Linked DNA regions of Mus musculus. The protein of the gene in region 1 interacts with the protein of each later gene in a pairwise test. Links are inferred from orthologs where the notes say so. Each region holds a gene or a part of one and is shown in the gene's direction. Other genes may lie near its edges. The genes, in order: Ldlrap1 and Psd4.

Evidence for each region.
Region 2: the proteins of Ldlrap1 (region 1) and Psd4 interact in binary tests that used the Homo sapiens proteins (3 or more experiments, as listed by UniProt). The two-hybrid records come from large-scale screens. The link is inferred for Mus musculus from reciprocal best matches to the Homo sapiens genes LDLRAP1 and PSD4.

Annotation. Positions count from the first base shown.
Region 1 is NC_000070.6:134,764,900-134,769,478, reverse strand, and holds the start of Ldlrap1 (low density lipoprotein receptor adapter protein 1), read left to right. Parts: upstream 1-1,474; 5' UTR 1,475-1,578; coding exon 1,579-1,663; exon of another isoform or gene 1,664-1,669; intron 1,670-4,579. UniProt on the Homo sapiens protein: Adapter protein (clathrin-associated sorting protein (CLASP)) required for efficient endocytosis of the LDL receptor (LDLR) in polarized cells such as hepatocytes and lymphocytes, but not in non-polarized cells (fibroblasts).
Region 2 is NC_000068.7:24,400,116-24,403,615, forward strand, and holds part of Psd4 (PH and SEC7 domain-containing protein 4), read left to right. Parts: intron 1-305; coding exon 306-485; intron 486-898; coding exon 899-979; intron 980-1,105; coding exon 1,106-1,218; intron 1,219-1,408; coding exon 1,409-1,467; intron 1,468-1,616; coding exon 1,617-1,706; intron 1,707-2,755; coding exon 2,756-2,799; intron 2,800-3,084; coding exon 3,085-3,245; intron 3,246-3,500. UniProt on the Homo sapiens protein: Guanine nucleotide exchange factor for ARF6 and ARL14/ARF7. Through ARL14 activation, controls the movement of MHC class II-containing vesicles along the actin cytoskeleton in dendritic cells. Involved in membrane recycling.

The DNA of each region.
Region 1 (4,579 bases):
GGATTTTTGAGGGCAGGGGCAGGAGTTATCGCCTCTAACTCCAGTCACACAGGACAGCTCCATGGGAAAGGTCTTCTTGCCTCCTTTACAGCTGAAACTTATAATGGCCAGACCATGCCCCCCACTAGGATTCCCACTGAGGCATCACTCTCTGACTCTTGGGGAACCACAGGTATGTCGTGTCTCCTGCTGTAAAGGAGGCTATGGCTGGCTGTACTGTCCACTCAGGCGGAGCACTTGGAACAGACAGGAGGTTTAGAAAGAGTGGAATGTGAGCCAGGCCTCCTTGGGCAGCTAGAGCACACAGCATGTGTGTCTCCCAGCCAGAAGAGATCTGCTGGCTTCTGAAACTAGCCAGAGGTCACAGCTGCGCTGCTGAAGCCCAGCTTCTGGAAGCCAGGTAGTGAACGCCAGACTCCTTTGGGCACAGTCTGAACCAAGGGTTAGCGGGTTTTTTGGTTTTTTGTTTTGTTTTCTTGGTTTTTTTTTAATAGTTAGAATTCTTTGTTATTTGGGTTTTCTGAGACAAAGTTTCACTCTATACCCCAGGATGCCTTGGAACTTGCAGGAATCCTCCTGCTTCAGCTCCATGAGCGCTATGATTACCGGTCTGAGCCATCGCTCCTGGCTCTAGAGTTAAATTACCAGCTTCCTGGGGCTGGAGCAGGTGCTGCCTTGGAAACAGGCTAGAGCAAGGCTACACACCGAGGGCCTGCCCAGACAGGCCGGTGGGTGCACTACAGATAGGATCACGCTTCATTTGACAGATATCATGACTCAGAGCAGGGAAGGACAGCCTGGGTCACACAGCATGCCTGAGTCTGCGTCTAAGGTTGCAATGTCCCTGAGACTGTGGGGGCAGAGGACAGCTAAGAAAGCTGCTAAGGGCATCTACCAATACACTCCCGATCCTTCCCAGCAAAATTCGCGGCCTTCATTCCCTCGTTCAAAGACTCCCATTGCTTTGGTGCGCCCCTCACTCATATTTATTTAATTATTTACATTTATTTTGTGTATGTAAGCAATGGGGGAGGTGCCACTGTTAGCGCCAGGAGGTCAGAGGACAATTTGCAGGAGTTGATTCTCTTCTTCTACCGTGTTGTCTCCGGGATCATTGTCAAGCTTGGCGGCAAGTGCCTTTATCCACTCGACCCTCTCCTTCCCATCTATCGTTTTTTTCTTTCTCTTATTTTTGAACAAGACCCTTATCGTTCTACCTTTCACTCTTCCCATCGGTGAAACGGTATCCAGGTGCCTTTTAGCTGAGCTATCTAGAAGGCCATGGGATCCCGTAGCTAGAGAACGGGGAAAGGCGCTGGGCTGGGAGCCTTGGTGGGTTCTGAGTTTAGGAACACCGCGCGTGCAGCCTCGGAGCCGGTCCAGGTCCGGGAAGGGCGGGGTTGCGCTCTAGGGGCGTGGCGGTGGGCGTAGCCCCTCCGGCCCCGCCCCTAGACGTCGCGGGGAGGGCGGGGGAGGAGCGCAGCGGGCGCGCGCCGCCTGGCCCGGCGGAAAGTTTTCCTGGAGGAGTTTTGGCGGCGGTAGCGGCGTCAGTGGCGGCGGCGACAACCGGAGCGGGCCATGGACGCGCTCAAGTCGGCGGGGCGCGCGCTAATCCGGAGCCCCAGTCTGGCCAAGCAGAGCTGGGCGGGCGGCCGGCACCGCAGTGAGTGTATGCGCCCCGGGTCGGGCCTCCGCCGAGCTCCGGGCCAAGGTGGACTGGGTGGCTTCGTCCCGCCCCGCGCGGCGGGGCCGGGGGTCATGTCCGGCTGCACGTCTGGGGCAGGTCGACAGGGATCAGGCTTAACTCGGGGTCCCCAGGTGTGGCGCGAAGGGGACGTCTAGAGCCTCTCTACCCACTCCAGCACAACCTACAGGGTCCCCTCTGGACGCTGGAGTTTCGCAGGTCCCTGCCTCGAGGGGCGATCCCAGCCCGGGTGCCATTCAGGGTCCCGCTTCCTCCCCTCTGGACGCGTCCAGGTGGCGAGGCTGGAGCCCAGGCTATTTACAAACCCTGTTTTCCTCCGTACTTTTCCTTGGGGGCTGGTCCGAGTCCCTGGGCACCTAGGCAAAAGGCAGACTCAGACTCGCTGCCATTTCTCCCGGGAGTCTGGAAGGGTGGAGAGGAGCCTCCCCCAGCCACCTCTCGGGTTACTTTCGGAGAGCCGTCACCTGGCACCCTCCCCCGAGGCCTGAGAAACCTAGCTTAGGTCCCTCCTCCCTTTTCATTCGCGTGGGATGATCACCCAGGCCTTCCCTTTCTGATGTGAAGCCAAAGTACCCGGGCTCGCGGCACACCCTCACCTGCCACCTACCTGGGGCCCCCCACCTCTCCCACTAACAGTACCCCCTCCCCGCCCCCAGCTTCTCGTCAGCACCTTCCCTTGCCGGGCTCCACCAGGGGAGCCCGAGTTTCCTAGTCCCTGGAGCGCCAGCGTGTCTGGGCCTCGGGAGCCCGCCCTGCCCCTCCTCATTCCCACTGTGGTGTTCCAGTTGTGGGCTCCTCCTAGCCCTGACTGGCATCGGGAACGCGTGCTGGTGCCTACTGGCGGGGGTGGGGTCAGAGGCCCCTTGGGCAGGGCATGTACTGACTTCCACACTTAACTACCAAAATAGCCCTTCAAAAATTCGTGGGATGTGACCAGGGCTTCTGAGTGTGACCTTCTCTTCCAGTGGACGAACCCTGTGGTTTTTCTACTGGGACAAGAGAGAGAAGGGTGGGTGGGGAAGAGGTCTGAAGGGGAGGGAGCCAGGAAGCAGGGGATGAATCTAGGGCATCAGGGTACATTTTGGATGGTGAGAAGTTTCCCTTCCAGCTCCAGCCTTAAGGCCGATCACTTGTTCTTAGTGATTCTGTTTCCTATCCTGGAAAATAGGGATAAAATTCCTGCGGGGCTGGGGATGTGTGTGTTGTGTTTGGTAGGATGCTTGCCTTAGCTTGCAGGAAGCCCGTGGTACTTTAAGTTCTTGGTTCCAGTATCGGCACTAAACAAATCAGGTGTAGCGGTTCGTGTCTGTACTCCCAGAACTAGGGAGTTGGAAGCCTACAAATCAGAAGTTCACAGTCATGAGGTGTCAGATAGTGAGTTTAAATGAGGCTGGTCAGGGATAGGTGTCAGTTAAGATGTTGCTAGTCTATTTTACAGGTTGGTGATGAGGTCTCTTGTTGTCTAGGCTGGCCTAGGACTTGCTGTGTAGACCAGGTGTGCTTTGAGCCTCTGATCCCCCAGTGCTGGGATTAAAGGTGTGCACCGCCATATAGTTATGTCCATGTCCTCTGGATTCAACCTGATTCTTATCAGGTTGGCCAGTTCTGAGATGGGGGCCTCAGCCTGTCTGTACCCTGGAGGGATGCAGCGCTCTCCTCTCTCCCTGCTCCTCCCAAAGCTCTGTGCTCACAATGAGCTCCTCAGAAACCTGGCCTATCTTTGGTTAAGTGTCAAGTTCGCAATATTCCTTTGCCGGGAAGAGTATTGCTTGGTCTGGAACTTTTGTGGGAGTGTCTGTGCTTGTCTTACTTGCCTAGAGGTGGTCTCAGTGAATGCATGCCCCTGCTTCTGTCTCTGGTATTTGACTTCTGTGAGCTCATTGGCTCCTGGGAGGTGACAAAGCTTGGGATTCTTATCTTCAGACCCATTTTAGAGATAGGACCGGGAAATGAAGTCCTAACTCTAGGCCTAGAGCATGGCCTGAGGCAGAGCTTCCCCAGCCCAGGGATCTTAGCCTTATTCCTTGGGTTTTCTGGCTGTTGGGGGGCAGCTCCACCCCAGGTTTGGCTAGCTGGCCCCCAGGACCAGGTTAGACAGGAAAGCCTTGGGTGTGGCCAGCATGAGAGGTTGGGACCTATCCAGCCCTTGGGTCTAGCGTTTAAGATCAAAGGCCAGAGCCTGTTAGATGGGAAAAGGGACTTGTTCTCAGGCGGGAGGACCTGAGTTCTAGTCCTGGGCTCCATTTGGAGGAAGGAGAAAACCGATTCCCAGGAATTGTGACCTCCACACATGCACGGGGACTCTTCTCCATAGACATAATGAGTATTAAAAACAAAACAAAACAAAACAAAACAAAAGCTCAGAGGACAAAGCAAAGATGAGGGATTCTGGGTAGAATCAGCCCCTGCTGAGAAAGAGAACCCTGGCTGGAGCTGCCAAGCACCGACCTGCTGGCTTCCCACTCACCTAGGAAGAGGACTCTTCTTTCTCATGGCCACTTCCCCTTATGAGACAGGGTTTCCCAATGTAGCCCTGGCTGCCCTGGAACTCACTCTGTAGGCCAGGCTGGCCTCAAACTCTGGGATCTCCCTGCCTCTGCCTCCAGAGATCTGAGAACAAAGGAGTGTGCCACCACCCCCACTGGCCAAAAGATCGCATCTCAGCTCCTTGCCAAGAATTTTTCCCAGCTCAGCGATATTCTTCCTAAAGGTCCTGGGGGTCACTGTGACCCTCATTCCTTTGTGGGTTGTGCTAGGCTGTCAGAGACAACCCCCAAAAGATAAATACAAAGTACCTGGTTCAGTAAAGTGATGGTAGGTGGGGAGCTACTCTTATTTACCTGTAGGCATGTAAATACCCTTGGGCATAATCCT
Region 2 (3,500 bases), on another chromosome or scaffold:
CTGCCACTCCAGATGAGATAGCTTGAAGAATCTTTGTGGGTACCTAGGGAAATGTGGCACCAGCTTGGCTCCACTCCTGTGGCTCTTGTTTCTCTAACTCTTCTCTGAGATCTCCTGGTCCTAGCCTAGGCCGGGCCAGGCTGGCTTTGAACATGTATCTCCATTCTGAGGACCTGGGTTCAGCTTCTCCAGATCCCAAGAGTCATAGTTCTAACCCTGAGCTCGGCCATTTCTTCTCATGGCCTTGGAGAACACTTGATGTTCATGTGCACCACAAGTGTGAGGACACAAATGAACTTTTCTAGGCTTCCTGAGAGCCCCATGCCCCAAGCTCAATCTCCAGAGGAAGGCTGGAGGCCATCATCGTCTAGAGAGAAGTTGGCTAATGACATCAGAAATGACAAGGGAGCATGGAACCTAGCCCTGCGCCTCTATCAACTGAATGGTTTTCGGAAGTCTGAAGTAGCTGCCCACCTACGCAAGAAGTAAGGGACTTTTGAGTTTCCCATGGGTGTTCTCCACTGGCCATCCACTCTTGTCCTTCCCCTGACCAATATCCCTACTTTTCCTCCAGCCTTATTACTGCTTGTCCCCTTATCTCTGTTCTGGTTCCTCCCTAGCCCATCTCTCTACTTAGCTAGCTCTGCTTATTCTCAGTCTCCCTTGAAATAACTCTTCTCTACCCTGGCTCCTTCCCTTGCCCATCCAGATCCCACTTGGCCTATCACAGATAACCCTGAACCAAGCAGCAGGGGCAGGCAAAGCCACTGGCTGCTATCTTGGGACCTGGCACCTAGCCTGGTTATACTTTTCTTTAGCTTTTGCTACCCTGGGGCCCCTCTGTACCTACAGCTCAGCCTGGTCCCAGCAGTGTTTTAATTTCCATTGCCCTCTGCAGCAATGACTTCAGCAGGGCTGTAGCCGAGGCCTACTTGTCTTTCTTCCAGTTCGAAGGTCAGAGCCTGGACAGAGCCCTCCGGTAAGGCCTTCTGCACCTCTGAGGAGGCAGGAGTTGGGTGTGTGGGGTGGTTAGTAACAGCTGTGGGACAGTGGTCCCAAGTTCATGGAGAATGTGGCTCTGCTCAATCCTGGCCTTCTTGGGCAGTGGTTTCCTCCAGGCCCTGGTGCTCAGTGGAGAGACTCAGGAGCGGGAACGAATTCTCTACCAGTTTTCCAAACGTTTCCATTACTGCAATCCTGGAGCCTTCCCCTCAGTAGGTATGGAGGGTGGAATAGGGCTGGGGTAGGACCTGGGGTTGGCATAGAAACAGCATGTGTTTACACGGGATCCTTTGAGCAGCAGCTGCTGGGAGTCTATTGGGGCTGTGGAGAAATGGGGGTAGGGGGGTCACCCCTAGTGTGGTCCAGATTCCATTGAGCGTTGTACTTTCCTCTCTCTCTGAGGCAGATTCTGTTCACACGTTGACCTGTGCAATCATGCTCCTTAACACAGACCTACATGGGCAGGTAAGGAGTGGGGAAGCAGCTAAAGAACAGAAGTGGGGGGTCTGGAGGATGGGGGAGGGGGATGTGGCATGAGGCAGGAAGAGAGGACCAGAGACTGGAAACACGTCAGAGTGGAATGTTCAAACGGTCCCATTTCTCCACGGCCACAGAACATTGGCAAGAGCATGAGCTGTCAGGAATTTGTAACCAACTTGAATGGCCTGCAGGATGGCAGGAACTTCCCCAAAGAGCTGCTGAAGGTATGGCTTCCTCACAAGACCTGGGCCCTCTCTCTCTTCTCTGTCTGTAGCCTAGAACTCTAGTTCCAAGGGGGAAACTAGAGCTTAGACACGGCTGGGATGAAGTCTTTATGAGGACAAGTTTTGCCATTGTGTCTCTGTCTGGTAATATCAGTGGTATCTTGGGGTTTGTTGTCTGTACAAATTGATACCCTTGGACCTATAGAACCATACTCTACGCATCTGAAAATGTTTATTACATTCTCAGAAGGGTTTTATCCCGCTTTGAACTCTGACAAGTGCTACTGTCCTTGCCTTGTCCTGTCCTGGGATTGAATGCATGATACACAAAGTTCCATGTATGGAAAATCCTGATCTTGGGTTTGGGGACTTGAATGTCCCTGGTTTGAATCCTAGTCTTCAGCAGCATGTCCCTGGGTCAATTCAAGTTGTTTCTGGAGGAAATGATCACCTCACTATGTCATTATGAAGATGAAATGAAAGCTGTCACAGGCCATGCACTATGTCCAGCTGACACAAGCTCCATAAGCAGTTGGACCCCTGGTTCTTTTTATCTACTTGGTGGTCATCTACTGGATGCTTCCTCTACTCCACATACCTGCCAGAAACACCAAGTGCTCCAAAAGCAAGCAAGATGTATCCATAATAATGCATCTGTGACGTGACCGCAAAATTCTAACCCAGCATCCATCCATTCATTTATCAAATATTTATTGTGGGTGTGTCCTTCAGCCATGATCCTTTGTCAGAAAACCCCTGGACAGACAGTATGTGGGTAATTCATGCGCCTTCTCAAAGGACTAGTTTAGAATGTACTGGGCTTCTGCAGAGCAGGACCTTGGCCTCTTTGCTATCTTTATGTCTCCAGTATCCAGCACAGGGATGGATGGGTGGAGAAGTGGAGAAATGGATCATGAATGCTTGCCTGGTTTTGGAGAAGAACATCTATGATGGGGTAGAGGAAAAAGGTGGTACATTTGCCCATAGATGTGTACCAACCACATGAGTGACCAGACCACCTGCTGATCTATATGCTTCTTCTGTTCCAGGCCCTCTACTGGTCTATCCGCAGTGAGAAGCTCGAATGGGCTATGTAAGAGCTCCCGTTTCCTCCCCTTCTTGCCCTTCATCCCTGCCACTAAGCCTGTCTACCCACTGCTGCCCACCTGAGAACTAGAGAAATTGAGGGGTCTACATAGTTCTGCATCTGAGTGGGTGGTGCCTACAGCAGGGGGGCTGGACCAGTTTGGGGAAGAGCAGAGGAACTTGAGCAAGGCTGGGGAAGCCAGAACTGATGTGGGGTGGGTACAGTTAGTGCCTCAAGAAGCAGAGGGTACTTGGTCTACCAGCATCCCGACCCTGATTCTCTGCCATCCAGAGATGAAGAAGATGCAGACAGACCCGAGAAGGACCAACCCTCTCCCTCAGCTGGCAAGATAAGCAGCCCCTTCCTGCAGATGGCTCAGGATCCCACGATGCCCACCTATAAGCAGGGCATTCTGGCTCGGAAGATGCATCACATTGCTGATGGCAAGAAGAGTAAGTGTCTGCTGCAGGGGGCGGAGAGTGTGTAGGGAGAGCTCTCCTTGGGGACCCTGTCCTATACTGTGGTACACAGAAGAACGAGCAACCTGTGTTTCTTTCCTGGATGGTAACTGAATGCTGTATAAAATAGGTCTGGTTATCTCCAGACCCTAGCACCACTATGGTAAGACAAAGACTAGACAAGCACATAGTGTCTCAGTTGAAGGTGGAAGGGGACTGTGTTTCGTATGGGGGCAGGAGGAGGGAGAG